7 linked regions of the Oryctolagus cuniculus genome follow. The protein of the gene in region 7 interacts with the protein of the main gene of each other region in a pairwise test. Links are inferred from orthologs where the notes say so. Each region holds a gene or a part of one and is shown on either strand. Other genes may lie near its edges.

Region 1 (3,500 bases), on a different chromosome or scaffold from region 7:
ATGGCTGGCTGACATAAAATAGGAGTGTGAACCCTGTGCATAAATATGACTTCTCGGCACTTTCACACTCAGGAAACTAGGCCAGGTGGGGGGTGGGGCAGGAGGCCCCCTCCTGGCCGCCTCTCTTCCTCTCTGCCGCCTGTCTCTGGGTTTCTTTCCATGTCCTGCTCTCTCACGTTTCTCCTTTTTCTTTCCTCCTCCTCGGGCCCTTGCCTGCTGTTTGTCCGCCCCTCTGCCCACTCCACATGCCTCCCCTGGGCCCCGGCCCTCCGCAGGGAGGCACCGACTTGGAGAAGCTGCGGGACCGGCTGACGGTGGAGAATGAGCGGCTGAGGCAGGAGCTGCGGCGCTGTGAGGCCGAGCTGCAGGGGCTGCGGGCACAGCCGGCCGTGGCGGCGGCGGCAGCGCCCTGCCCGGGCTGCGAACACAGCCAGGTAAGCCGGCCCCACACCCCGGCCCCGGTCGGTCCCGGAGGGTCCAGCTCCTCCTCAATGCGAATGCAGCCCCTCACGGCGGCCCGCGCCCCCGCAGGAGAGCGCCCAGCTCCGGGACAAGCTGTCCCAGCTGCAGCTGGAAGTGGCGGAGAACAAAGGCGTGCTGTCCGAGCTGAACCTGGAGGTGCAGCAGAAGACGGACCGGCTGGCCGAGGTGGAGCTGCGCCTCAAGGACTGCCTGGCCGAGAAGGCGCAGGAGGAGGAGCGGCTCAGCCGGCGCCTGCGCGACAGCCACGAGACCATCGCCAGCCTGCGGGCCCAGTCCCCGCCTGTCAAGGTGAGCCTCACCTGCGCCTGGGCCCAGGGCAGGGCAGCCTCGAGAGAGGGGCGCGTCGTGGGGATAAAACAGGTGTGGGTATTTAATGGACTCGGTCCCGTGCTGCACTGGGCCTTGCCCCTTTCTGCAGCTGGCCAGGGCCGGAGAAAGTGTCCACACCCAGTGCTCGGGTGCCCGCGTGTGCCCTCTGGGTTCTGCCCTTCTCCTCTGTTCCGTGCCCAGGTGGGAGTCACAGCTGGGCTCGTAGCAGGCTCTCATTAAAATGAGAAGATTCCAGTGCGTTCTGGAAAGCCAGGACCCCAGGCTGCTCTCGCTTTTTTCCCCCCGGGGCTCTTGATGGGGCCCCTCGAGGCTCCCCTCCCGTGGTCACCTCCCAGGGCCCCACACGCCTGCCTTCGCCTTGCAGTATGTCATCAAGACGGTGGAGGTGGAGTCGCCCAAGACCAGGCAGGCGCTCAGCGAGTCCCAGGCCCGGAACCAGCACCTGCAGGAGCAGGTGGCCATGCAGCGGCAGGTGCTGAAGGAGATGGAGCAGCAGCTGCAGAGCTCGCACCAGCTGACCACGCAGCTCCGTGCACAGGTGGGTGGGGGCTGGGACGGCGCAGTGGCTAAGCATGCCGGGACGGGCCAGTGCCTTCTCTCCCTCCTGACCCTGTGACCAAGGGCAAGATTTGTCTCTGTTTCCTCATCTATAATGCGCTCTGCTCCCAGCGCCCACGGTGGGCCCTCTGGGACGCGACCAGCAGAGGTTCAGGCCCGGTGTGCTCCATCAACACCACGGGGCTCGGGTTCTCCTGACTCCCCCAGGGCCTGGCCCAGGCGGGGCTGGGGCCCAAGGCAGGGGGTGAGGGGTGGAGAGGTGGGACGGTGGTGGCAGCTACATGGAGTTCGCAGCCGTGGGCCCGGGAGAGAGAAGCCGGTTGACCCTGCTACCGCGTGTGCTTGTGCAGGAGGGGGGTGTGGTGTTGGTGAGGGGCGGGGCTCCCCTCCCTGTACCTTCCCCCACCACATTCCACGGCCCTGAGCTTCCTCATGGCCCGGCCGCCAGATTGCCATGTACGAGGCGGAGCTGGAGCGGGCGCACGGACAGATGCTGGAGGAGATGCAGTCCCTGGAGGAGGACAAGAACCGGGCCATCGAAGAGGCCTTTGCCAGAGCCCAGGTGGAAATGAAGGCCGTGCACGAGAACCTGGCAGGTGAGGCGGTCGCTGGAGCCCTGCCCGCCCCTGACCTCGCCGCGGCCCCTCCCACCCCGCCCGAGCCCTGCCCACCGCCCCCACTCCGCCGTGGCCCCTTCTACCCCGCCCGAGCCCTGCCCACCGCCCCCGCTCCGCCTTGGCCCTCCCACCCCGGCCGAGCCCTGCCCACCGCCCCGCACCTCGCCGCGGCCCCTCCCACCGCGCCTGAGTCCTGCCCGCCCCCAACCCCGCCGCGGCCCCTTCCACCCCGCCCGAGCCCTGCCCACCGCCCCCCACCTCGCCGCGGCCCTTCCCACCCCGCCCGAGCCCTGCCCACCGCCCCCCACCCCGCCGCGGCCCCTTCTACCCCGCCCGAGCCCTGCCCAACCGCCCCCGACCTCGCCGCGGCCCCTCCCACCCCGCCCGAGCCCTGCCCACTGCCCCCTACCTCGCGGCGGCCCCTCCCACCCCGCCCGAGCCCTGCCCACCGCCCCCACTCCGCCGCGGCCCTCCCTCCCCGCCAGCCTCACTCCCCTCGCGTCCCGCAGGCGTCCGGACTAACCTCCTGACGCTGCAGCCGGCGCTGCGGACCCTCACCAACGACTACAACGGGCTCAAGCGGCAGGTGCGCGGCTTCCCCCTGCTGCTGCAGGAGGCCCTCCGGAGTGTCAAGGCTGAAGTGAGTGCGGGGGCTGGGTCAGGGGCTGGGAGAGGCACTGGGGCCTTGGGGCAGGCGCAGCATCCACTCGGGACCGGTTCCCGAATTCACAGACACTTCCGCAGCTCCCACACGCTGGCCATGGCCAGCTATCTGACTGCAGGCTGTTCTGTTGTACACGTGTGACCGTGACCATAGACCTACTGCATGTTCTCACGTGTGCTAGGTTTCACTTTGAAAACTGGACTTAGAGGGTGCGAATAGCCCAGGTCTCTTAAATGCCTCCCACGTGCAAGCCCTTGGCTCCCTGAATTCGCCCGCCAGGGCTCTGCAGAGTAGACCGCGGGTTCTTCTGTCAGCAGTGCTGAGCGGTGCGCAGCTCGGGGAAAGTCAAAGCCTGCGGCAGGTGCCGAGGAGCCCCGCAGCCGCCCGCGTTGAGCCCGTTGGTGTCTGCGTCTCCCTTCATAATAACAAAGGAGGACACACGGGGTTGGGGCTTCCGCATCTCTTTCCCCCTCTGAAGTGTACCTGGGACCTGAACTCCACCACCTCGTAGTCTCGCGTTCGGTGGTGTCAGCCCCACGCTGCAGGTGAGGGGGCTGAGGCCGTTGTCTCAGGCGCCCCAGCTGTTCCGCTGGAGCTGGGATTTGTGCCTAGCTGAACGCTGTTGCCGTCGGGTGCTGGTGCTGCACCCTGCACAGGGCAGGGTAACTGGGAAGCAGTGGCTCAGTTTCTTCACCTGTGAAGTGGGAATGTAGTAGCCCCGCCACCCGAGGGGTCACTGGGAAAAGGTGACATAGGACAGCGCATGTCAGTCAGACCCTCAGCCCACAGCAGGATGCAGGGTGCACCCCTGGTGGGTGGGCGGTGGGGCGAGCCAGGCCAGGGAGCCG
Region 2 (3,500 bases), on a different chromosome or scaffold from region 7:
GGCAGTACCTGGCATTCAAACCTCATAAATATTTAATAAGTGAATAAGGTGTTCAATCATTTTTTCCTTTTTTATTTGTTTACCCTTTAGGTTTCATATTTTGAAATATATTTGGATAAGATAAGGGACCTATTAGATGGTAAGTTAAATCCTTGTTCTTTTATTGTTTTAAGTAGTACTTGTTACTAATATTTTTAGTACCTTATGTGAAACTGACAAACTATAGGAAATAGATAATTAGATTTTTTAAGTTTTAAGATATTGAATACTTTTGACAAAAAGAATAACTTGCTTAAGGCAAGCTACTTCTTAAGTAGTAATTACAGCATAGGAAAGGAGCTAGAGAACCTGAGCCCTGCATTTTTGACTTCTACCTTCAGTTCTTCCATCAGCTGTTAGATACGTTGTTCTTCTTGGGCAAATCTTTGAACCACTCAAGCTTAATGTTCTTGTTTACAGAATGTAGGTGGCAGAAGGTGAAATGGGCCTAAATTCTGTATTGTGCATTGGTTTCTACTTAAGTGTGCTAATATGACAATAAGGTCTTGCTTTAATAGTGGTGTTTTCATTTTTGTTTTTCCGATTGACCTATTATTGGGCTGCTTGGGGAAGCCTGTCAATTCTATTTCATAACTAGTGTTAGATTTTAGAAGAATGTTGCTAAAGTTACTTTTCTTTTTCAGTTTCAAAGACCAACCTTTCAGTTCATGAAGACAAAAACCGAGTCCCCTATGTAAAGGTACTTACAAAATAATAGAGAATGTTTAGAAAAGCCTTGTAATAAATTTTAAAGGATATTGACATATTTTTTGCAAAATTATTTCACAGGGGTGCACAGAGCGTTTTGTATGTAGTCCAGATGAAGTTATGGATACTATAGATGAAGGAAAATCCAACAGACATGTAGCAGTTACAAGTAAGTATTTAACATTTGTTAAGGTACAATAAAATGGCTTTTTATCCTTAAAAGATGTAAGAATAACTGGATATCCTATTCAGGTGATTGATTTTAAGACTTTATGTAAAATAATTCTTTAGGGAAATTATTAGTAAGAGAAAGTCATGCTTATTTATAGTTTTTCTGTATTTTCATTGCAGATATGAATGAACATAGCTCTAGGAGTCACAGTATATTTCTTATTAACGTGAAACAAGAGAACACGCAAACAGAACAAAAGCTGAGTGGAAAACTTTATCTGGTTGATTTAGCTGGTAGTGAAAAGGTATAGTGTTCACATATTCTGACAAGGATATTTAAACATTATATAAACTTACCTTAAATTGGGATTTATATGTGATGTTTAAAATTTCCTAATTGGATTTATCTGGGAATTATAATTATTGATGTCAAAGCTTTATGATTACGTAAACAAAATTAGCGATTCTTAATTAACTTCTATTTGGCCATTTTGGCTCAACTGTTACCTTTGAGTTAAGATATATGTTTTTAATGAAAACTTGTTCAGCATATGCTATTATAAATTTTATTACATATTATTATTAAGTAATGATTTATTAAATATCTCTTTGCTAATATCGGGTATCTCTTTTAAGATTGATTGATTGATTTGAAAGTCAGAATTACAGAGAGAGATCTTCCATCCTCTGGTTCATTTCCCAGATGGCCGCAAGTGCTAGGGCTAGACCAGGCTGAAGCCTGGAGCATCTTCTGGGTCTCTCATGTGAGTAGCAAGGGCCCAGACACTTGGACCATCTTCCGCTGCTTTTCCTAGCCCATTAGCAGGGAGCTGGATTGGAAATGCAAGAGCTGGGACATGAACCAGCACCAGTATATGATGCTGGCATTGCAGGTGGTGGTGTTATCTGCTACGCCACAATCTTAGTCCCATATCTCTTTTATCTGTATTGGCAGTGAGCTCCCTATTGAAACTGGTAACTGTCCATTAGTCCTTTCTGATTTGGTTCTATAGTCATCCCTCACTGTCAGTAGGGATTGTTTCCAGGATCCCCCTCAGATACCAGAGTCTTGGATGCTCGGGTACCTTGTATAAAACACTGTACATAATCTTTGATATAACCTGTGCTTATCTTCTAGTATACTTAAATCATCTCCTAATAAGGTATTCGTAGTTGTTTTACTGTTTAGGGGAAAATGTCTGTACATGTTCAGTACAGGCACTTCCATTGTTTTCAGATATTTTCTTCTGCACTTGGCTGATTCCATGGATATGAAACCCACAGATATGGAGGCCAACTCATTTCTTTTCCTTTGGATGATTATCTCATTATCAGTCCTAAAAATATGATTCTAGTCAAGTCAAAATAAGTTGAAATGTTTTTTAATATTGACCTCTGTGACCATTTTTACTGTTCTGCTAATTTTGTTTCTTCTCAGTTGAATGGTGATGCCTATTCCCTTCTAGTTAAAAGTTGTACACATATCTCAAAGACTCTTTAATCTTGTTATATAATATGTTTAAATTCAGTCTCTTTTTAACAATCACATCATGATGCTTTAGGAAAACTTAAAAGGTTCCTCTTTTCTAATGTAGGGGACCAACAGATGAATGAGCTAAAATTTACTTGTAAATTGGCTATCTTCAAGAGCACAAGCAAAAACAAAATTTGATGTCTCCAATCATGTTCTTGTCTGCATCTAGTTGCTTGATTAAGTTCTCAGAAAAGTACTCAAGAAGTGACTAGTACCAAGAGTAAATGCCTAGCAAACAACGTCATGAAACTTTTCACTTTGTTCCTTCTTTTTTTAGCTGGTTATTGATGACTTGTAAACCTTTTAGAAAATTCAAAGAATATCATCTTAAAATGACAATTTTTCCTTCTTTTGAAATCTAACGTGTAGGTTAGTAAAACTGGAGCTGAAGGTGCTGTGCTAGATGAAGCTAAGAACATCAACAAGTCACTTTCTGCTCTTGGGAATGTCATCTCTGCTCTGGCTGAGGGCAGCGTGAGTATCCGTGCCTTCTGTTTCCCTGCTGTTTTATGGGGAATTATTTAGGTGTATGTGTATGCTTGACTCTGTATGGCGTGTAAGAGTGAGGAGAAAATTCGCTGTGTTTCAATCAATATGTGTAAATTGGTTATCTTTTAAAGAAAATTTATTCACAGTATTCGTATCTGTATCCTAGTTCCAATCTTAATAGAGGGCAGTAACTATAAGTCAACATATTTATAACAAATTTTTATTGTATGGAAACCTATTTGTCTTATTTCTTTTTCTTTGTTTTTGTGTGTAGACTTATGTTCCATATCGAGATAGTAAAATGACAAGAATCCTTCAAGATTCATTAGGTGGCAACTGTAGAACCACTATTGTAATTTGCTGCTCTCCATCATCATACAATGAGTCTGAAACAAAATCCACACTCCTGTTTGGTCAAAGGTTTGTTAAGAAAATGAAAGCCTAAATGTAGATAGGCCTTTTGATTATTGAATGTGTTGATGGCAGACAGTTAACGATCAGTGCATATCGTTAGTGGAAGAGATATTTCTTTCTAGCTGAGAGGCAGATAATACTAGGT
Region 3 (3,500 bases), on a different chromosome or scaffold from region 7:
AACAGGGCACGGGGCCGACCCCCTCGGCTGGGAGACAGGGAGGACACCAGCCTTCCTGGAGCCCTGTGCAGCGTGCCCCCCCCGACCCCCACAGCCTTCCTGGAGCCCTGTGCAGCGTGCCCCCCCCTGACACCCACAGCCTTCCTGGAGCCCTGTGCAGCGTGGCCCCGACACCCACAGCCTTCCTGGAGCCCTGTGCAGCGTGCCCCCCCCCCCGACACCCACAGCTTTCCTGAGCCCCCTGTGCATCGTGGCCCCCCCCGACCCCCACAGCCTTCCTGGAGCCCTGTGCAGCGTGCCCCCCCCGCCCCGACCCACAGCTCAGCCTCCACGGAACACTGATGAAGTGACTTTAATGTCCTAAGGAGAGGCCCAGCACACGGCAGGTGTCCGGAAGTGACCCTCCAGCCCCACCTCCACTGGACAGCGTCTGTGCCCCCGAGGCCAGGGAGCCCACCACGGGGCAGCCTGGGAGCAGAGTCCTTCTTCAGGCAGTGTCCTGGGGTCAGGGCGGCCCCGGGGGCGGGGTCCTGGGCCTCCAGCCCCAGGGGTGGGGCCTCTAGAACTCCGTCATCTTCTTGTGGGTGTCTGCCTTGCTCTGCGCCCGCTGCAGGCCGGCCTCCTGGGCGCGGAGCTGCCCCAGCCGCCGCTGGGCTCCTGCCAGTTTCTCTTCCAGCTGGGCGGCGGCCACGCTGTACCTAGGGAGGGAGCAGTCAGCATGGACCCCGGCCCACTGCCCCCAGGCCAGCCTGCTGCTTCCGGGCCAGGTGTCCGCAGCCTACATACCGGCCGGTGTTCCGGGCCAGGGCCTCCTGGATGGCCCGGATGTCCCGCTGTGTCCGCTCGATCTTCTCTTCCGTCTGGAGGAGCCGCAGGCTCAGGGCCTGCTTGGCGCTCTTGCTGGCGTGGTACATGTCCTTGCCCCTCCTGGACGGGGCCACCTCGGCCTCCGGAGCCCCAGGGGCCTGGCCTTGAAGCTTCTCATTCAGGAAGTCAAACAGGCTCCGAGGGGGCGGGGCACCCCCGGGCCCGCCCCCACGCCCCCGGCTCCGCGGGGCCCTGCTGGCGCCTGCCCCATCCCCCTGCGCCCTCTTCTGCAGGATCTCCGCACACTGGTCCAGCGACTTCCCCCGCGGCAGCACCACCGCCTGCACGGGCTCCACCCTGCCTTCCAGGTTGCGGCCCAGGCCTGGGGAGACAGGGGCTGGCCGTGCTGCTGCTGCACCCCAGGGCTGTCCTGGGCACCCTCCCCCGCCTCCGGGCAGCTGACAGCTCACGCTCACCCTTGCCAAACTCATAGCCCATCTTAGCCAGGAGTCTGGAGCCGATGGCCCGCGTGTGCGCCTCCCAGCCAGCAAAGGCAGAGCTGCAGGTCCCAGTGTCCACGGCGCTCGGCTCCACCACTGCAGGGGACAAGACGGCAGTCACTGGGCCAGGCCAGATCCCAGCTCCCGGGCACGTCCCTGTGCACCTGTGGGCTCGTGACCGCCCCCAGCTCCCCCCACACCTCGCTATGGCCCCTTCTCCAAATCCCACCCTCGATCCTGCCTGCATCGCCCAGGGTACAGGGCCAGGGACACACCAGTCTCTGGAGGGCTGGCCACGCCCACCAGCTTCCCTGCCGGCCACTTCTGCCCCAGCAGTCTGGACGCTGTCTGGACGCCCCCTGGTGCCAGGCCCTGGGGCTGCACGGCCAGTCCTCCCGCGCATGCTCAGCGAGGACCGAAGCAGCAGTCCCCACTGGCCCCGCTGGGCGTCCCCCCGTCCTGGCTCCTGGGCACCAGGCCGTGGCCGTACCGCGGGCATAGCTGGCGCCGTCTGTGTCGCTGCTCTCCGAGTCGGAGGACTCGGTGGCTTCCGTGCGCAGTGGGGGCAGGACGCCGTCGCCTTCCACCACCGCTTCCTTCAGCAGCAGGGAGTCGAACTTGACTGTGTAGTAGCCACTGTCCACATCTGCAAGGACAGGCAGGCTGAGGTGAGCGGCTACAAGCGGGGAGCAGGGGACCAGGCAGGGTCCACCCCAGGGAGGCGCTCGGAGGCCTTCCCAGGAAGGTGACCGGGCCAGCCTCACCAGTGATCCGCGCTGGGTGCCAGAGGCCGTCCTGGTGCTTGGCCAGACACGCAGAGCCGACCTGCAGGGAGCTCAGGTCCGGGTCCTGGAAGGGACGCAGCTCATCGACAGGGACCACCTGCCCGTGGGAGAACCTGCAGAGAGCCACACCGGCTGCTGACGGAGGGCACGCACACACGCGTGTGCTCTCGCACGCACATGCCTGTGCTCACAGAGGCATGCACACACTGGGCCTCTGCTCATCCACGTGTCCTGGGCTACAGGGACCACGTGGCAGCAGCCAGTCTCGCTCCTGCACACACTCAACCTCTGCCTGTCCACGTGTCCTGGGCCACGGTGACTGTGGCCACACCCTGGCCATAGCCTTGGCCCCTCCCCAACGACCCCACCCCAGACAGAAGCAGTCAGTCCCGGCAGACGGGCTGGAGTGACTGCAACAGCGGCGCCTCGACCCTCAGCTCCCAGTGGGCAGCAAAACCAAAACCAAGACCCAGAAGAGACAACGAAGAGGAAATGGCGCGGGCAGACACAGGGCCGTGACCTTTCACCTTGCCCAATAAGACACAGAAATCCCGACTGCATCATTTCAAGAGGGCACGCGTATCTGGCCCTACGGGGGTAGCTCCGCGGCTGCAGCCGCCGCCGTCCTCAGGCCAACAGCTGAGTGGCGGCCGCAGCCGCCGCCGTCCTCAGGCCAACAGCTGAGTGGCGCCGGCAGCTGTGACTGTGCCCAGGATGGCTGGACAGGGCTGCTGGCGGGGGGAGCTGCCAGACACCCCCGCACTCCTGACACAAGCCTCCCAATTCGGAACAGGCTGAGTAGGCCGCAGGCTTTCCTCCAACTGGAAGACCCACGCCTGGGGAGAGGACCCCACACAGGCGCACAGAGCTCACTCCCTGCCCGCGTCGTGCAGGCACAACACGGAAAAGCTGCACCTGGGGTCTGCACGTTTTAGGGTTCATCTATGGGAGAGGCGGAGAGGCCCTCATCCGCTGGTTCACCAAATGCCCACAACAGCCGGGCTGGGCCAGGCTGAAGCCAGGAGCCAGGAGCTCCACCCGGGGCCTTGCAGGGGCTGGCAGGGGCTGGAACACTGAGCACCCCGCCGCCCCCGGCTGCTTCGCAGCTGCAGGAGTGCTGGCCTCACTCACCGCACCGGAGACCGGGCCGCACTCGTCTCACTGCTGAGATACACATCTGTGCCCAACGGTTACGGTTTGGAGCCTTTTGGATCCTGGATCTTGGATCACCTTTAGCTGAACAAGGGCTTCTAGAAATGCCACCATTTGCAAAGATTTAGCAACACAAAGACTTGGAAACAACCACCAACCACAGGAAGGGGAGGGAGGGGAGTCACCCACGTCCACAGAGGGCGCCCAGGGTGACAGAACAAGCAGGGAGCCAGGCAGGTGCCGGGGGCATGCACGC
Region 4 (3,988 bases), on a different chromosome or scaffold from region 7:
TTCTCACATACACAGAGCTGTTTATTTTTAAAGTCTTCCTGAATCAGAGCACTTAGAGGAGGTTATGAACCTTTCCCGTATTGACAGCTTTAGATTATGATCAACCGTATCACATAGTTCATATAGGGAGACTTATTTGTTTGCAAAACATTAGGAGGATGAACAAGGCAATCTCTTAAAAACGAAACCGTATCTTCATTACTGCCCATCACCGCGCATCTCCCTAAATCCAAAATAAGACTATGTGCTAACTGCTCCCCTCTTAAACTGAAACCTGCACTGCAGCTTTATGTCTCAGAGAGGAAATATTCCTCCTACCCCTTCCCAATTTAGATGTGCAGGTTATAGTTCTACGTTAAGAAAAAAAAAAAAAAAAAAAGACAAAACGTAGACTATCTGGGAGGAGCCCCTGGTGGAATTAATTACAGCACTTCCCAGATCGTAGTTAGCAATTGACAGTTTCACACCCAAAACAGTACCGTCATCTCCAACGAGAGCTTTTGTTTGCAAATGCAGCGCAGTTTCTCCAAGCTCTGGCTGCAAGTTGGAGTGACTGGGTTTTATTCCGAAGAGAGGGAGCGGGGGATCGCGGAAAAGGAGTCAAGCCAGTGTCGGGAGCCCCGCAACTGTATGGCACTCATTTCTTCCCCTGCCTCCCCCCAGTCTCACACTTCGAGTCAGCTCCTTCAGACCACAAAAACAAAACGGTTGGGTCCCCGCAATCCTATCTGCGCAACAAGGGCCAAAACTCAGCTCCGCGGCAGCAAACAATAGGGACTGCTCCAATAAAGGGCCCGAAGAGACCCCTACAACCTAGGACGCCCCTCCTTCCCTCCGCGACCCGGGGGCTCCACCAACACCCTCTGTTTATCGACCTACAAGGCCTACTGCAATCAGGCAGCAGCCGGTCCTCCTCCAGCCGGAGCCCTCCAACACGGCAGATCCGTGCCGCCCCCTGTAGGGCTGCCTCGTACCCCATAACCTCCAACATCATCTCCCCCCCAGCCCTTACCGCCCCCTCGGGTCCCCACAGCCCCTCGTCTTCCACAAAACTCCTCGGAGCACTCGGCCCGCTCCTCCTCCTGACCCCGCCGCGCACTGCATTCCCATATTCGACTCCTCTGAGGCGCCCCCACCCCACACAGCTGCCGCCCGCCCTTCCTCCCCCAGGCCCGGCCAGGCCTTGGGCCTCCGCCCGGAGCGAACCCCTCGCCGGCCCGAGGGGCTCCCTGAAGCCCCCACGGCACCGCCGACCTCGACCCCGCCGCCTCACCCCCGCGCCCCGCGGCTCTGGCCCGAGTCCTACCACCGAGGCCACTCCCGCTCGGCACCCTCGGTCCTTTATTGTTGACTCGAAGCTCCCAAAATGGCGGCGGCTCCTTCCTCCTCGGAAACCTCCGCCCGCCCCCACCCGGCCCCTCGCTGTGGCCGCCCCCGCCCCCGCCCCCGCCGCACTCCCGGGGCCGCGCCGCCGGCAGCCCGCGCCGCCGGCTGCCGGGCCGCCCAGCCTACCTCCGCCGCTGCCCGCTCTCTCGGCGCCGCCGAAGTCGCCGCCGAGCTGAGCTAACTCGGCTGTCTGCCCCCTCCCTCGCCCGCCCGCCGCCGCCTCCCTCCCTCCCTCTTTCCCTGCCTCTCCGCATGGCGGCGGCCGCGGCTCCTCCTCCACTCAAGATGGCGAGAGCTCGGCTGTCGCGGCCGCCTGGCTTCCCTTCTTCCCTTCTTGACGGCGAGGGGAAGCCCGGCCGGAGAAGCTCCCTGAGGAGGGGGGAAGGAAAAAAAAAAAAAAAGCGGGCCGTTCTCTCACACCGACGGGTGGAAAGCTGCAGGGGGAAGCCCGGCTGCTGTCTGAGGGGACAGGAAGGCCGAGGAGAGATGCTCGGGGAATGGTGGCTGAGGAGAGTCGCCGGCCTTCACGCCTCCTGCGTGAAAACCCGGGGTTGTGACCAGAGGCGGATCTGCTTGTTACTGCCCCAAGACCGGTCCCCAGCACTGCCGGGCCGGAGGCGGGAGGCTGACCTGGCACCCCCGCGGGCCGGGGGCCGCGTCCGAGCCCCTCGCGCCGCGTCTCCGCCCGGGAGCGCGCGGAACCAGAGGCCCCCACGCGCCCGCCGACGCGCGCCCGGGGGCGGGAGGGGGGCGGCCTGGGACCCGCGGTGGGGAGGGCCCCGGGGCGCGCGGAGGGCGGGCAGGGGGGGTGTAGGGACCGCGCCGGGCGGAGACCGTGCGCCTGGGAGGGGGAGCTGCGGAGAGCACGCGGGGTCTGGGAGGCGACCCCGCCGTTAGGGCGCAGGGCTGGGCGGCGCGACCCCCCTCTACTGCCGAGATCCTCCAGGGAGGGGCCGAGCCTCCCCCCAGAGGGGAACAGCACTGAGTCGTCTCGGTGGAAGCCGGGCAGTCGGTAAAGATCTGGGCGCCCGCAGGCGGAGAGTTTTTTCTCCCGCCCGCCCCTCACTTGTAAAGATTTTTAGGCATTTCTCCTCATGATTACTTCTCAGACCCTAGCGTCTCCGTTTATCCCCAACAGAATAACAGAAATGCTGTGGTGTCTCAAGTAAGAAAAAAAAAATTTGGCTAGGCCGAGGGAAAGTAAAATCCTAGGTCGCACCCGGCTGGGAAGCGGAATATACAAACGGACAATGGCCAAAGCGTATGTGACAATAGGACTCCGACCCACCTCCGCAGCAGCGAGCCCAGAACGGTCAGCACTTGCTCACTGACTGGCAGCTTCCATGTTTTTTTGCCGCTGTGCCGCTGTCCCCAACTCGGAGCCAATCAGAGAAAGCCAAATATGCCGCCGCAACCAATCACGTCCGAGGCCCTGCTTCTCGCTCGCCCTCCTCCCGCTTCCCGGTGCCAGCACGCGCCAATCGCGGCCGACCTGACGCCTTCCCCGTTTTTCACCATGAAGCTTTCCTACTCCCCCGCCTGCCTGGTCCCCACCACTCCGAGGGGTCGTGGCTGCGGATCCTACGGCACGCTCTGAACGCAAAGCCTGGTCTCGTTTGGCGGTCTGGAAAGGCTGTCGAGAGCAGTGAAAAGACTACCCTTGACGTTAAAAAAAAAGTCCCCTTATTTTTTTTTTAAATTCTAGGTTTAGAGCATGCCATCTCCCACCCAGATTTTAAAACACCTAGTCGTGAAGAGAGAAACCCTGCACCCTATTCCATCCTGTAGAGAAGACGGCTGGGTGATACCGTGTGAGATCCTCTTTGCCTCACTCTCTTCCCACGTATCAGGTGTGTGAAGGGTTGGGAAAGGGGCTTCAGGATTTACACCAGGTCCCTTCCCCCACACTGCTCAAGGAAAGGGTCCACAAATAAACTGTAGCCTGGATGAGGTCACGACAAAAATGGGCAATATGAAATGACCACCCATCTCACCTAGGAGTCCTTCTGAGGCGAAAACCTTTCGAAATTCTGTATAATGATCTTTTAAGATGGGTAAATACTCTCACATTGTTGGCCCTTTTCAGTTTTCTGATGGGATACGTAGATGGTTTAAAATTAAGCTAGGAACCCTGGATCTTTTATTCTAGATTCAGCTTTAGTGGTTGATAGGTCAAACCATTTCAAACCATTTTGTCCTTGCTGTTTTCAAACAGATTAGCAAGAATTGTGAAATATGACACTTTAGGAAAAAAGATTATTTGGGGCTGCACAGACTATCATTTATAAAATGTATTTTTAGGGGGTTGGAGAGAGGATAGCTAATGGGTCCAGGGGTGCAGTTGGGCAGGATAACTCTGATTGGCAAGAATTAATTGAATATTTCAAAATAGCCACCTAGCTGCTTTCTCTCTAGGGTGAACACGAGGAACAGAGTTCCCCCCTTCTGTGTGACGAGGTATTTTAAAATCTGGGAGATGGTATGCTAGAAACAGAATTTGAAGAGGATTTTGAATGTTCCTAGCACAAGAAAAGTATGTGAGTCTGAGGTGATAGGTATGCCTGATCATTACATGTTGTACATATGTACATATGTATTGAAA
Region 5 (2,636 bases), on a different chromosome or scaffold from region 7:
GCAGGGAGAGAGGGACAGACAGATCTTCCATCTACTGGTTTGCTTCCCAAATGCCTCCCAACAACCAGATCTGGGCCAAGCCAAAGCCAGGAGCTTAGAACTCCTTCTAGGTCTCCCACATGGGTAGCAGGAGCCCAAGCACTTGAGCCATCTTCTGCTGTCTCTTAGGAGCAGAGCTGGATTGGAAGCAAAGTAGCCAGGACTCTAACTGGCTCTTTGACATGGGATACAGGCTCCTCTAGCAGTGGCTTTACTGGCGGCTCCACAATGCCTGCCCCCAGTTAATTCATTTTCATTTCTTTATTAACTATCCATGTGGGCAGTAAATAACAACATTTACTGTGTTGTTATTTATTCATCTACCTGTTGATAGGTATCTGGACTGTTTACAGTCTTAGGATCCCACAGTTTATCCTAAGCAGTCTGCTACACATCTCCTAGGTCTCACATGTACTTTGTGTGGGTATATATCTACTAATGCAGTTGTTAATCATACAGCATGCATATTTCCTTTTTTTAAAATTATTTTATTTATTTGAATGACAGAGTTACAAAGAGAGGTAGAGACAGAGAGAAAGGTCTTCTATCCACTGGTTCACTCTCCAGATGGCCGCAATGGCCAGAGCTGTGCCGATCTGAAGCCAGGAGCCAGGAGCTTCCTCCGGGTCTCCCACACGGGTGCAGGGGCCCAAGCACTTGGGCCATATTCTACTGCTTTCCCAGGCCATAGCAGAGACCTGGATTGGAAGAGGAGCAATTGGGACTAGAACTGGCACCCATTTGGGATGCAGGCACTTCAGGCCAGGGCTTTAACCCACTGCACCACAGTGCCAGCCCCAGCATGCATATTTTCAACCAGCTGTGATTGTTAAACTTAATTTTCACTGGCGCTTTTAACCCATATATTTTAATGGAAATATAAAGTCTTTATTCTCATCTAAAAGGTTTGTCTTTCCTATAGAAAAATGCAAGGATGGCAGCAGAAAAGCATTATTCTAACACCCTAAAAGCACTAGGAATATCTGATGAGTTTGTTTCAAGGAAAGGCCAAAGTGGAAAAGTACTTGAGTGCTTCGCCAATGAAGAATCGCAAAGTTTCAGTGAAGATAAAGAAAGGTAACATATGTAAAATGAATGGTTTACCTTTGAAAAAATCTTACCTGCAAGAAAGAATAAAATTCTGTCCTATATCATTTTAAAAAGGGTTTTTTTCCTGAAAGAATACATATGAATGGTTGTAAAACATACACTGATATTTTAACGTTTGACATTCAAAATGTTAACATGGTGATGGAGTATTTTGCAGACTATGATTTCTATCTGATATAGATAACAAAAATAATAGCATTCTTTCATATGAGGTTTAAAGAGTCAGTCGCTCAAATTTGAAATAAATTAGTTTCCAGAGGAATATTTAATTTCCCAGTTGGCACTTTATAGAGCTGGTTCTCAATAAATTGGAGCTCAGACACTTGAGGAAGACTGGCTCCACGATGGCATTCATTGCAGAGTCTGTTTACCTTTAAGCTAGCTCATTTTTCCTTTCAAAGATTGATAAATTTCTTCCTCTAGCCTTCATGAAGAAGAAAAAATAGAAGAAAGAGAGAATGGGGAAGAAAGTTATTTTGTTGATGCCAACAGTCAGGATTCTTGCAAGGAAGAAGCTGAAGCTGAAGAAGAAAGTGAAGAGAAACCTGCTGAGGAATAAAACTGAGGAATCATGCAGCGAGCTCTCTGCATACTGTTTGCAGCATCAGGGCTGTCGCAGCCACATTTGTGACGTTGAGAACATCCATGGAGACAACTCAGATATGTGCGGAGCTGTTGAGCAAAGACATCTGTAGCCTAGGAGTGCTGCATCTGGCTGATTGGTCATTTGGTCACTTAGAGTAAGGCTTGGCCCATTCATTTTTTACAGTTGCTACATTTGGTCTGTTTGCAACTCTGATCTTGTATTTAAAAACAGAGACTCACAGCTGTCACCAACTGATTAGCTGTCAAAATACACATTACTTCGTTATTGTCAGTGGAAAAACATGGCTTAGTATTGAGAGCAGAAAAACGTGTTGGCCTTTGGTGACTGACCTTTTAAAAAATTCTGGAAGGCATGAATCAATAAATATTTTAAATTATAAATGTTGCCCATTCTTTTTCTCTACACTGCATTTCACAAAATGAGCTCTCAAGCTTGTGTTGCTACATATTTTAAGTTTTTTATCTGAGCCATTTTTAAAAAGGAATAAAAGGGGAAAATAGACATGCAAATTTACATTCATTTCTGCACTGAGAGTTTACTCCATACCATTATGATTTTCTCTTTTTTTAGCTCTAGTTTTTGTCTAAATTATTTTAATATGTAAGTTATTAATAGGAAAGTTTTTGTGCTAGTTTTTAAACCTTGCATAGTATTACAGATGGAAAAAAATGTGGACTCTATGAGTTATAATCCTAACTAGAGGTAAATATCCCTCTTATAAATGGTGAATTCGTACATAGTGACTTGTCCAAGGCAAATCTCCAAAGTAATTCAGGTTTAATACTTTGATGCTAGACCTAGTTGTGCTCAACTTTTTACCTATTATTGCAGACACACTTTGTCTATGCATGAAGTTAATTTGATTTTGTGAATTTACAAG
Region 6 (3,962 bases), on a different chromosome or scaffold from region 7:
ACCAAAGGTGGCCTCTTGGGGCGGGAGGCTTGTTCTTGGAGCCAGTGGAGTTAAGGCTTGAGTCGAGGATCACAGGGGTCCTGGGCTATCCCACGCCCCCCCCCCCTCCCCGCCAACAGGAAAAGGGCTGGGAGCGTCCCAGGTACCAACTGGGCGCTCTGCACCAGCCTGACTAGTATATTGGTTGTAGATACTCAGCTCCATGAATGAGGAAACCCAGGTCCAGGTGTTTGAGGGCAGGGATTACACAGCCTTGCCCCCTGGACCCACGGGCTTCGGGGGCCATCTGGGAAGGGGGTGGACCCAAGGTGGAGGGAGCAGATTGAGTGGGTGCCGAGACAGAGAAGGTGGAGGGCTCTGGAGGGTGGGAGGGCGCCCCTCCATGTCCCTTGGGGGCAGTAGGGGGAAGCAGGAAGCCGTCAACAGCCTGGGAGACCTTGCTGGAAGCTTGTAAGGCTGAGGCTTGGCGTGTAGGGAGAAAAGCGGGGTTGGGGGTGGAGGGGTGTCCAGCTTGGGCGGCAGCATTGAGAAAAGCCAGGTATGGGTCAGGTTAGGGAGCCGGGGTGTTAACCACAGCTCCCTACCTCCAGGCACCGCCCCTGGGTCTGAATCCTAACCTCACCTCCATCCAGTCACCACCGCGGCACCATCTTCAGTTTTGGGCACCCTCGAGTCCCTGTCTGTCTTGCACTGGCCTTACATAAGCCTTGACTTCGGATGGCCCTGCAGGGTTCCGGCCAGGGTGGCCAGCCCATAAGGAAGCTCCTTGGGAGTAGGCAGAAAGTGCAAACAAAAGCTTGACTAGGGCCTGGCTGCAAGATGCCAATCCGGCTTCCCGTTAGGCTGCAGGTGATGGTCCAAGTGGGACACCCGGATTCAGTTCCGGGTTGTTGGCTGGCATTTAGGGAAGAGACCCAGCGGATGGAAGCCTTAATACATGGCGGGAAGAAATTTACATTAGAGACATGAATGTTAAATAGTAAGTGAGAAAAAATGTAGTCAAAATCATCCACCAAAACGACAGCGGAGCCATGTTGCGGCCACATGACGTCACCGCTAGCGGGCATGGCGTCACCCAGGAAGCCTGAAGCCGCCTGCAACGCGGGCTTTAGTCTGCGCATGCGTGGCCCCGGTGGCCTCGCGTGCGCATGCCCACCGAAGCCGAAGGGTCGCGCTGGGGTCACGTGCCTCGGTGGTCAGCGCGCGCGCCGCCTGCCCCGGAAGCGGTCGGCGCGCGGCGCGGCTGGGCGCTAAGATGGCGGCGGCGTGAGTTGCATGTTGTGTGTGAGGATCCGGGGCCGCCGCGTCGCTCGGGCCCCGCCATGGCCGTCACCATCACGTTGAAGACGCTGCAGCAGCAGACCTTCAAGATCCGCATGGAACCTGAGGAGACGGTGCGGGCCGGGCTCGAGCCTGGGGTGGGGGAGTGGGGGGGGAGCGGGTGCGACGGGTGCCGGGGGTGGAGTGGGGGCGGGGAGACCGGGCTTCCAACCGGAGGGGTGGGTGGGGAGGAGGACGGCGCGGGGCCGGGCGGGGGCCCGCTGCCCCAGCATCCCCGATCAGCGGCGCTGCAGGGCGAGGCCGCACCCCCGGGGCGCCCGCCAGGGCCCCGGCTCCGGTGTCAGCGCCCTCGCGGGGCGGGGGACTTGCAGGCTCGGGTTCCCGGGCGGGCCCGGCTCTCCGGAGCTCGGCGTTCCCAGCGTCTCCCGGGGACGTCGGGGGGCGAATCATTGACAGGACTGAGCCGGGTGATGACGACAGCGATGACGACATTGACAGTACACGACCTCGATGGTGTTCGGTGGTCCGCGTGTGTTGTAGCGGTGCCTTGGCTGACGCTGCCGAGCAGGCTTTGTCCGCTTTCGCACATGGGGGCAGCCCAGGGCTTGGGCCGGGGGTCCCAGCCGCGAAGGGGGCAGAGGACGGCGGATCCCGGTTGGGTCGTGCGTGCATGCTCGGGAGAGCCCCGCGCGGTCTCAGCCACGCTGCTCTGAGCTGAGAGGGAGACATGAGGACCTAATGGAAACTGGGCGCTTCTGTCCACTTTCTGGCGCAAAATAAAGAGGCTTGGGACCTCCGAGCAGCGGGACTGTCACCCTGTGGGCGGGTTTTTTTTTTTTTTTTTCAAACAAAATGAAGTCTGTATATGTGTGTATCAGGGAGTTCCGGAGCTCGGCAAGTGGGAGACGCGGGCACGCGCGCTTACACACACACACACACACACACACACACACGTTTGCCATTAGCCTCAGATGCCCTTAGTAGGGGCTGGCATTAACTTTAAGCTGCTGCCCGCGATATCCGCATCCCATATCCAATCACGGTTCGAGTCCCGGACCCTCCTGACCCAGCTCCCTGCAGATGAGCTCGGGAAGCCGGCGGAAGGGTGGCCCCAAGTGTTTGGGTTCCTGCCACCCCTGGGAGGGCGGGGGAGGGGACACCGGGATCAAGCCTGGCCCAGCCCTGCCCTGGCCTTGTAGCCTATTTGAGGACTGAACCTGCAGATGCAAGATCTGTCTCTCCCTGGCCTTGTGTTTGTCTTTTCAGTAAATAAAGTGAGTACATACATATGTGTTGGTAAACACCGCTGCTGTTGTCCAAAGTGAGCACTGTGGAAATGGGGGACCCCATCTCCCCTTCGCCTTTTCTCCTCACACGGGGCCTCTTTCCCAGGGCAAGGCCTCGCGTGGCGTTCTGTTCCCTGTCTGTAGAAAGCTTCCGCAGGTTGGAACTAGCACCTGCCACGGAGGATGTAGATACGGATGAGGGCCCGGATGTTGGAGGGAATTCCAGTCTCACCTGCTCCGACATCGCGGGGGGACTGGGGGCTCCGGAGCCGGTCCTCTCTGCACCCTAGAAGGGAAGAGAGACGCCGAGGGCTTTGCAGTGACCGGCTGTGCCCTCTCCCTCCAGGTCAAGGTGCTGAAAGAGAAAATAGAAGCCGAGAAAGGCCGTGACGCCTTCCCTGTGGCCGGCCAGAAGCTCATCTACGCTGGCAAGATCTTGAGCGACGACGTCCCCATCCGGGACTATCGCATCGACGAGAAGAACTTTGTGGTCGTCATGGTGACCAAGGTGGGTGGGAGCTGGCCAAGGAGAGATTAGCCCGGGAACCCAGGGCAGGGCCCCGGCTGGGTGGCGTGGTTTGGGTCTGATACGGGATGCCCACGCCCGCCCCCTTTCTGTTGGCTGTCACAGGCCAAGGCTGGCCAGGGCTCCTCGGCACCCCCAGAGGCCTCCCCGACTGCCGCCCCAGAGTCCTCCGCGACCTCGCCAGCAGCCCCTGCCTCAGGCATGTCCCACCCCCCACCGGCCACCCGAGAGGACAAAAGCCCATCGGAGGAGTCGGCGCCCACGACATCCCCGGAGTCTGTGTCCGGGTAAGGCAGGGGACAGCCCTGGGCCGTGTCGTCCCAGCACCTTCCTCCAGTCCCCCCCAGCGCCCTCCGGTGGGGGGAGGGCAGGCCGCCAGGAGCCAGGGTCCGATTTCTCTCTCTTGAATTTGCAGCTCTGTTCCTTCTTCAGGTAGCAGCGGGCGAGAGGAAGATGCGGCCTCCACGCTAGGTGGGTGGGTGGTCCCCAGGGCAGAGCCGTCCGCGGGGGTCTAGTCTAGATGCGGGTGGGCCCCAGTGACCCAGGCCCTGGCATTCCCCCCTGCCCGCCCCGCAGTGACCGGCTCTGAGTACGAGACGATGTTGACGGAGATCATGTCCATGGGCTACGAACGGGAGCGGGTGGTGGCCGCCCTGAGAGCCAGCTACAACAACCCGCACCGAGCCGTGGAGTACCTGCTCACGGTGAGCTGGGGCCGCCCCGCCCGGAGGGCTCCCTGGGCGGCGGGGGGCTGCACGTGGGAACTGACCAGGAGCCCTAACAGGGGATTCCCGGGAGCCCTGAGCCCGAACACGGTTCTGTCCAGGAGAGCCAGGTGTCCGAGCAGCCGGCCACAGAGGCAGGTGAGC
Region 7 (3,500 bases):
GGGAAACCCTTGTTGCATTTTAAACCTCAAAAAGACTATTTTTTTTTTCATTTGGGCTCTCTACTTTTATAATTCTAGATTACTTAAATGTAACATCAATAATGACCTGACTTTAACAGCTGTTAAATTGATATTTGCTTCCAATCACAACTAACATTTTTAAATGTAATTGTCAGCTTCAAAGCAAAACATTAAAGATCCTTGAAATTTTTTCACCTTCAGAAAAAGTGTATGAAAAGTAAAGGCAAGGGAATAGAAATATACAAAAAAGTTACTTAAAACTGAAATCCTGGGGCAGGTGTTGTGGCACAGCAGGTTAAGTCATCTGTGACACCTGCGTCACATGTCAGAGTACCTGGTTTAAGGGCTGCCTGTTCTGATCCAGCTTCCTGCTAATGCTCCTTGGAGGCCGAAGATGATGGCTCAGGTACTTGGGTTCCTGCCACCCTTGTGGGCGACCCAGAAGGAGTTTCAAGCTCCTGGCATCCTAGCCCTGGCTGTTGCAGCCATTTGAGTAGTAAACCAGAAATGGAAACTCTTTCTTTCTCCATCTCTTCCTCTCTTTCACTCTGTCTTTCAAATACATGAATAAATTTTTTTTTAAATCAAATATTAAATGCTTTGATTTTAGATGATGTCTGGAGTCTTAAAATTGAATATTACCTTTTTACATTTAAAATCATTACTATCAACATCAACTAACTCCTCTGCATTAACTAAACAGATACGTATGGAAGTCTGAACTTAACAGACTTTACACCAAATCCAGAAGTTATCCTGTGCCACAGATTCGTTGACAATCTAGTCTTTTTTTTATTTTTTTTGACAGGCAGAGTGGACAGTGAGAGAGAGAGAGAGAGAGAGAGAAAGGTCTTCCTTTTGCCGTTGGTTCACCCTCCAATGGCCGCCGCGGCCGGCGCACCGCGCTGATCCGATGGCAGGAGCCAGGAGCCAGGTGCTTTTCCTGGTCTCCCATGGGGTGCAGGGCCCAAGCACCTGGGCCATCCTCCACTGCACTCCCTGGCCACAGCAGAGAGCTGGCCTGGAAGAGGGGCAACCAGGACAGAATCCGGCGCCCCGACCGGGACCAGAACCCGGTGTGCCGGCGCCGCAAGGCGGAGGATTAGCCTAGTGAGCCGCGGCGCCGGCCGACAATCTAGTCTTAAAATGTCTGTCTCCTCTGTTTCTCCTTCCTTTCCGAGACGGGGCACGCCGACTCCTTTTGGATTCTTCCTGTTGGTAGAGTAGTTACTGGAGGGCTCGGTGATTGACTGAACTGTCTCCTGACAGATGAGCTGCCCCGGATGCGGTTCAAGTGCCCCTACTGCACCCACGTGGTGAAGCGGAAAGCAGACCTGAAGCGCCACCTGCGCTGCCACACGGGGGAAAGGCCCTACCCGTGCCAAGCTTGTGGGAAGAGATTTAGCAGGCTGGACCATCTGAGTAGCCATTTTCGAACAGTACGTATGCAGCTGCCATCGTTTTGCTTCTTGAGAAGCACATGCATGTGTCTGCTTTGGGATAACCTGGTTTTCATATAACTCAGTTTAACATTTCTGCTTTGCACATAAGGCATCATCACATGTGTACATAAATGTACATACAGATTGTAACATCTCCTTTGAAATCCTGAAGTCAGAGATAGTCTTGTGATGATCAATGGTTTTGTATTTCCATCTTTTAAAGATTTATTTATTTATTTATCTGAAAGTTACATGGAGGCAGAGGCAGAGAGATAAAATCTTCCATCTGCTGGCTCACTCCCCAAATGGCTGCCATGGCCAGAGCTGGGCCGATCTGAAGCCAGGAGCCAGGAGCTTCTTCCAGGTCTCCCACGTGGGTGCAGGGGCCCAAGGACTTGGGCCATCTTCAGCTTTCCCAGGCCATAGCAGAGAGCTGGATCAGAAGTGGACTAGAACCAGTGCCCATATGGGATGCTGGCACTGCGGGCAGCAGCTTTACCCACTATGCAACAGCACAAGTCCCTTACATTTTAACTCACATAAAATCTAATAGGGTGTTGCACACTGGTCTGCTCAGAGCCATAGATAATATAAGCTATTCGTGTTTTAATCTAGGTCTGACTCACTATTTCCTATATTCAGCAACTACCAGGGATTTTTTTTTTAAAGATTGATTTATTTGTTTTGAAAGCCAGAGTTACAGAAAGAGAGGGAGAGACAGAGATCTTCCATCTATTGATTCATTTCCTAGATGGCCACCATGCTCAGGTCTGGGCCTGGCTCTAGGAGCCAGGAGCTTTATCCATGTCTCCCACATGGGTAGCAGGGGTCCAAATACTTGGGCCAACCTCCACTACTTTTCCCAGGCCTTTAGCAGGGAGCTGGATCAGAAGTGGAACAGCTGGGACACGAACAGGAGCCCATATGAGATGCCAGCATTGCAGGCGGTGGCTTTGCCTGCTGTGCCACAGCGCCGGCCCCCTACCAGGGATTACTGAAGCTTTCCCTAGCAGCTTCTTACTCCAGTTGTGGCTGTCTGGCCTCCGTCTATCGCACCTGTCCTAGTTTCTCTCTATTTTCTCCACGGTCTCCTCAAGGAAGGAAGGAAGGAAGGTAGGCCGCAGAGCCACTCCCATTCAGGGACTGTCAGCCTCAGACAGACCTCAGTGCCCTGGTGGTTCAGTAAGACAGCGATGCAGGAATTATTCTGCTTTCATCTTGCAGCAAACTTATTTTTCAAAATTATTCTCTTAATAAGAATTCTCTTTAATTTTAAAGGTTACTTGAGGTGATTTTTTCATATATTGCTTTACAGTTATTTATATGATAAATATATATTGAGTACCTACTAAGTGATAGGTATAGGGGCTGGCGTTGTGGCATAATGGGTTAAGCTGCCACCTGGAACAGTGGCATCCTATATGGGCACGTTTCTAGTCCTGGCTGCTCCACTTCCAATCCAGCTCCCTGCTAATGTCACTAAGTGATAGGTATATGGCAGTGAGCCAAGCAAACTCTGCCTTCATTAATGTCATGAAACCAGACTTTTTTTTTTTTTTTTTTTTTTTTGACAGTCAGAATTAGAGAGAGGGAGAGAGAGAGAGATCTTCCATATGCTGGTTCACTCCACAGATGGCTACAATGGCCATGGCTGGGCCAGGCTAAAGGCAGAAGTTTCTTCCTGCTCTCCCACATGGGTGGCAGGGGCCCAAGCACTTGGGCTGTATTCTGTTGCTTTCCCAGGCATGTTAGCAGGGAGCTGGATTGGAAGTGGAGCAGCTGGGTCTCGAATCTGCACCCATATGGGATGCCAGCATCACAGGCAGCGGCTTTACCTGCTGTGCCACACTGCCGGCACACCACCTCTGCTTCTAATCCAGCTTCCTGTTAATTCACCCTGGGAGGCAGCAGGTGCTGGCTCCAGTACTTGGGTTCCTATCACCCATGTGAGAGACCTGGATGAATTTCCTGGCTTCTAGCTTTGGCCTGGTCCAGCCCCAGTTGTTGCAGGCATTTGGGGATTGAACCAGCAAATGG

Evidence for each region.
Region 1: the proteins of ZBTB8A (region 7) and KIFC3 interact in binary tests that used the Homo sapiens proteins (3 or more experiments, as listed by UniProt). The two-hybrid records come from large-scale screens. The link is inferred for Oryctolagus cuniculus from reciprocal best matches to the Homo sapiens genes ZBTB8A and KIFC3.
Region 2: the proteins of ZBTB8A (region 7) and KIF5B interact in binary tests that used the Homo sapiens proteins (3 or more experiments, as listed by UniProt). The two-hybrid records come from large-scale screens. The link is inferred for Oryctolagus cuniculus from reciprocal best matches to the Homo sapiens genes ZBTB8A and KIF5B.
Region 3: the proteins of ZBTB8A (region 7) and ZGPAT interact in binary tests that used the Homo sapiens proteins (3 or more experiments, as listed by UniProt). The two-hybrid records come from large-scale screens. The link is inferred for Oryctolagus cuniculus from reciprocal best matches to the Homo sapiens genes ZBTB8A and ZGPAT.
Region 4: the proteins of ZBTB8A (region 7) and DDX6 interact in binary tests that used the Homo sapiens proteins (3 or more experiments, as listed by UniProt). The two-hybrid records come from large-scale screens. The link is inferred for Oryctolagus cuniculus from reciprocal best matches to the Homo sapiens genes ZBTB8A and DDX6.
Region 5: the proteins of ZBTB8A (region 7) and FAM161A interact in binary tests that used the Homo sapiens proteins (3 or more experiments, as listed by UniProt). The two-hybrid records come from large-scale screens. The link is inferred for Oryctolagus cuniculus from reciprocal best matches to the Homo sapiens genes ZBTB8A and FAM161A.
Region 6: the proteins of ZBTB8A (region 7) and RAD23A interact in binary tests that used the Homo sapiens proteins (3 or more experiments, as listed by UniProt). The two-hybrid records come from large-scale screens. The link is inferred for Oryctolagus cuniculus from reciprocal best matches to the Homo sapiens genes ZBTB8A and RAD23A.

Annotation. Positions count from the first base shown.
Region 1 is NC_091449.1:41,234,508-41,238,007, reverse strand, and holds part of KIFC3 (kinesin-like protein KIFC3), read left to right. Parts: intron 1-275; coding exon 276-434; intron 435-531; coding exon 532-771; intron 772-1,177; coding exon 1,178-1,351; intron 1,352-1,819; coding exon 1,820-1,967; intron 1,968-2,497; coding exon 2,498-2,628; intron 2,629-3,500. UniProt on the Homo sapiens protein: Minus-end microtubule-dependent motor protein. Involved in apically targeted transport. Required for zonula adherens maintenance.
Region 2 is NC_091444.1:102,466,854-102,470,353, reverse strand, and holds part of KIF5B (kinesin-1 heavy chain), read left to right. Parts: intron 1-90; coding exon 91-139; intron 140-683; coding exon 684-739; intron 740-828; coding exon 829-916; intron 917-1,098; coding exon 1,099-1,223; intron 1,224-2,821; coding exon 2,822-2,926; intron 2,927-3,215; coding exon 3,216-3,361; intron 3,362-3,500. UniProt on the Homo sapiens protein: Microtubule-dependent motor required for normal distribution of mitochondria and lysosomes. Can induce formation of neurite-like membrane protrusions in non-neuronal cells in a ZFYVE27-dependent manner.
Region 3 is NC_091442.1:341,323-344,822, forward strand, and holds the end of ZGPAT (zinc finger CCCH-type with G patch domain-containing protein), read right to left. Parts: intron 2,206-3,500; coding exon 2,072-2,205; intron 1,954-2,071; coding exon 1,798-1,953; intron 1,404-1,797; coding exon 1,284-1,403; intron 1,190-1,283; coding exon 787-1,189; intron 699-786; coding exon 560-698; 3' UTR 337-559; downstream 1-336. UniProt on the Homo sapiens protein: Transcription repressor that specifically binds the 5'-GGAG[GA]A[GA]A-3' consensus sequence. Represses transcription by recruiting the chromatin multiprotein complex NuRD to target promoters.
Region 4 is NC_091432.1:111,456,547-111,460,534, reverse strand, and holds the start of DDX6 (probable ATP-dependent RNA helicase DDX6), read right to left. Parts: upstream 2,801-3,988; 5' UTR 2,675-2,800; intron 2,103-2,674; exon of another isoform or gene 1,631-2,102; intron 1,612-1,630; exon of another isoform or gene 1,513-1,611; intron 1,435-1,512; exon of another isoform or gene 1,013-1,434; intron 1-1,012.
Region 5 is NC_091433.1:140,969,778-140,972,413, forward strand, and holds the end of FAM161A (protein FAM161A), read left to right. Parts: intron 1-961; coding exon 962-1,116; intron 1,117-1,572; coding exon 1,573-1,708; 3' UTR 1,709-2,136; downstream 2,137-2,636. UniProt on the Homo sapiens protein: Involved in ciliogenesis.
Region 6 is NC_091447.1:62,405,102-62,409,063, forward strand, and holds the start of RAD23A (UV excision repair protein RAD23 homolog A), read left to right. Parts: upstream 1-1,162; 5' UTR 1,163-1,322; coding exon 1,323-1,394; intron 1,395-2,913; coding exon 2,914-3,075; intron 3,076-3,198; coding exon 3,199-3,380; intron 3,381-3,508; coding exon 3,509-3,564; intron 3,565-3,669; coding exon 3,670-3,797; intron 3,798-3,877; coding exon 3,878-3,956; intron 3,957-3,962. UniProt on the Homo sapiens protein: Multiubiquitin chain receptor involved in modulation of proteasomal degradation. Binds to 'Lys-48'-linked polyubiquitin chains in a length-dependent manner and with a lower affinity to 'Lys-63'-linked polyubiquitin chains.
Region 7 is NC_091438.1:139,931,921-139,935,420, reverse strand, and holds part of ZBTB8A (zinc finger and BTB domain-containing protein 8A), read left to right. Parts: intron 1-1,290; coding exon 1,291-1,460; intron 1,461-3,500. UniProt on the Homo sapiens protein: May be involved in transcriptional regulation.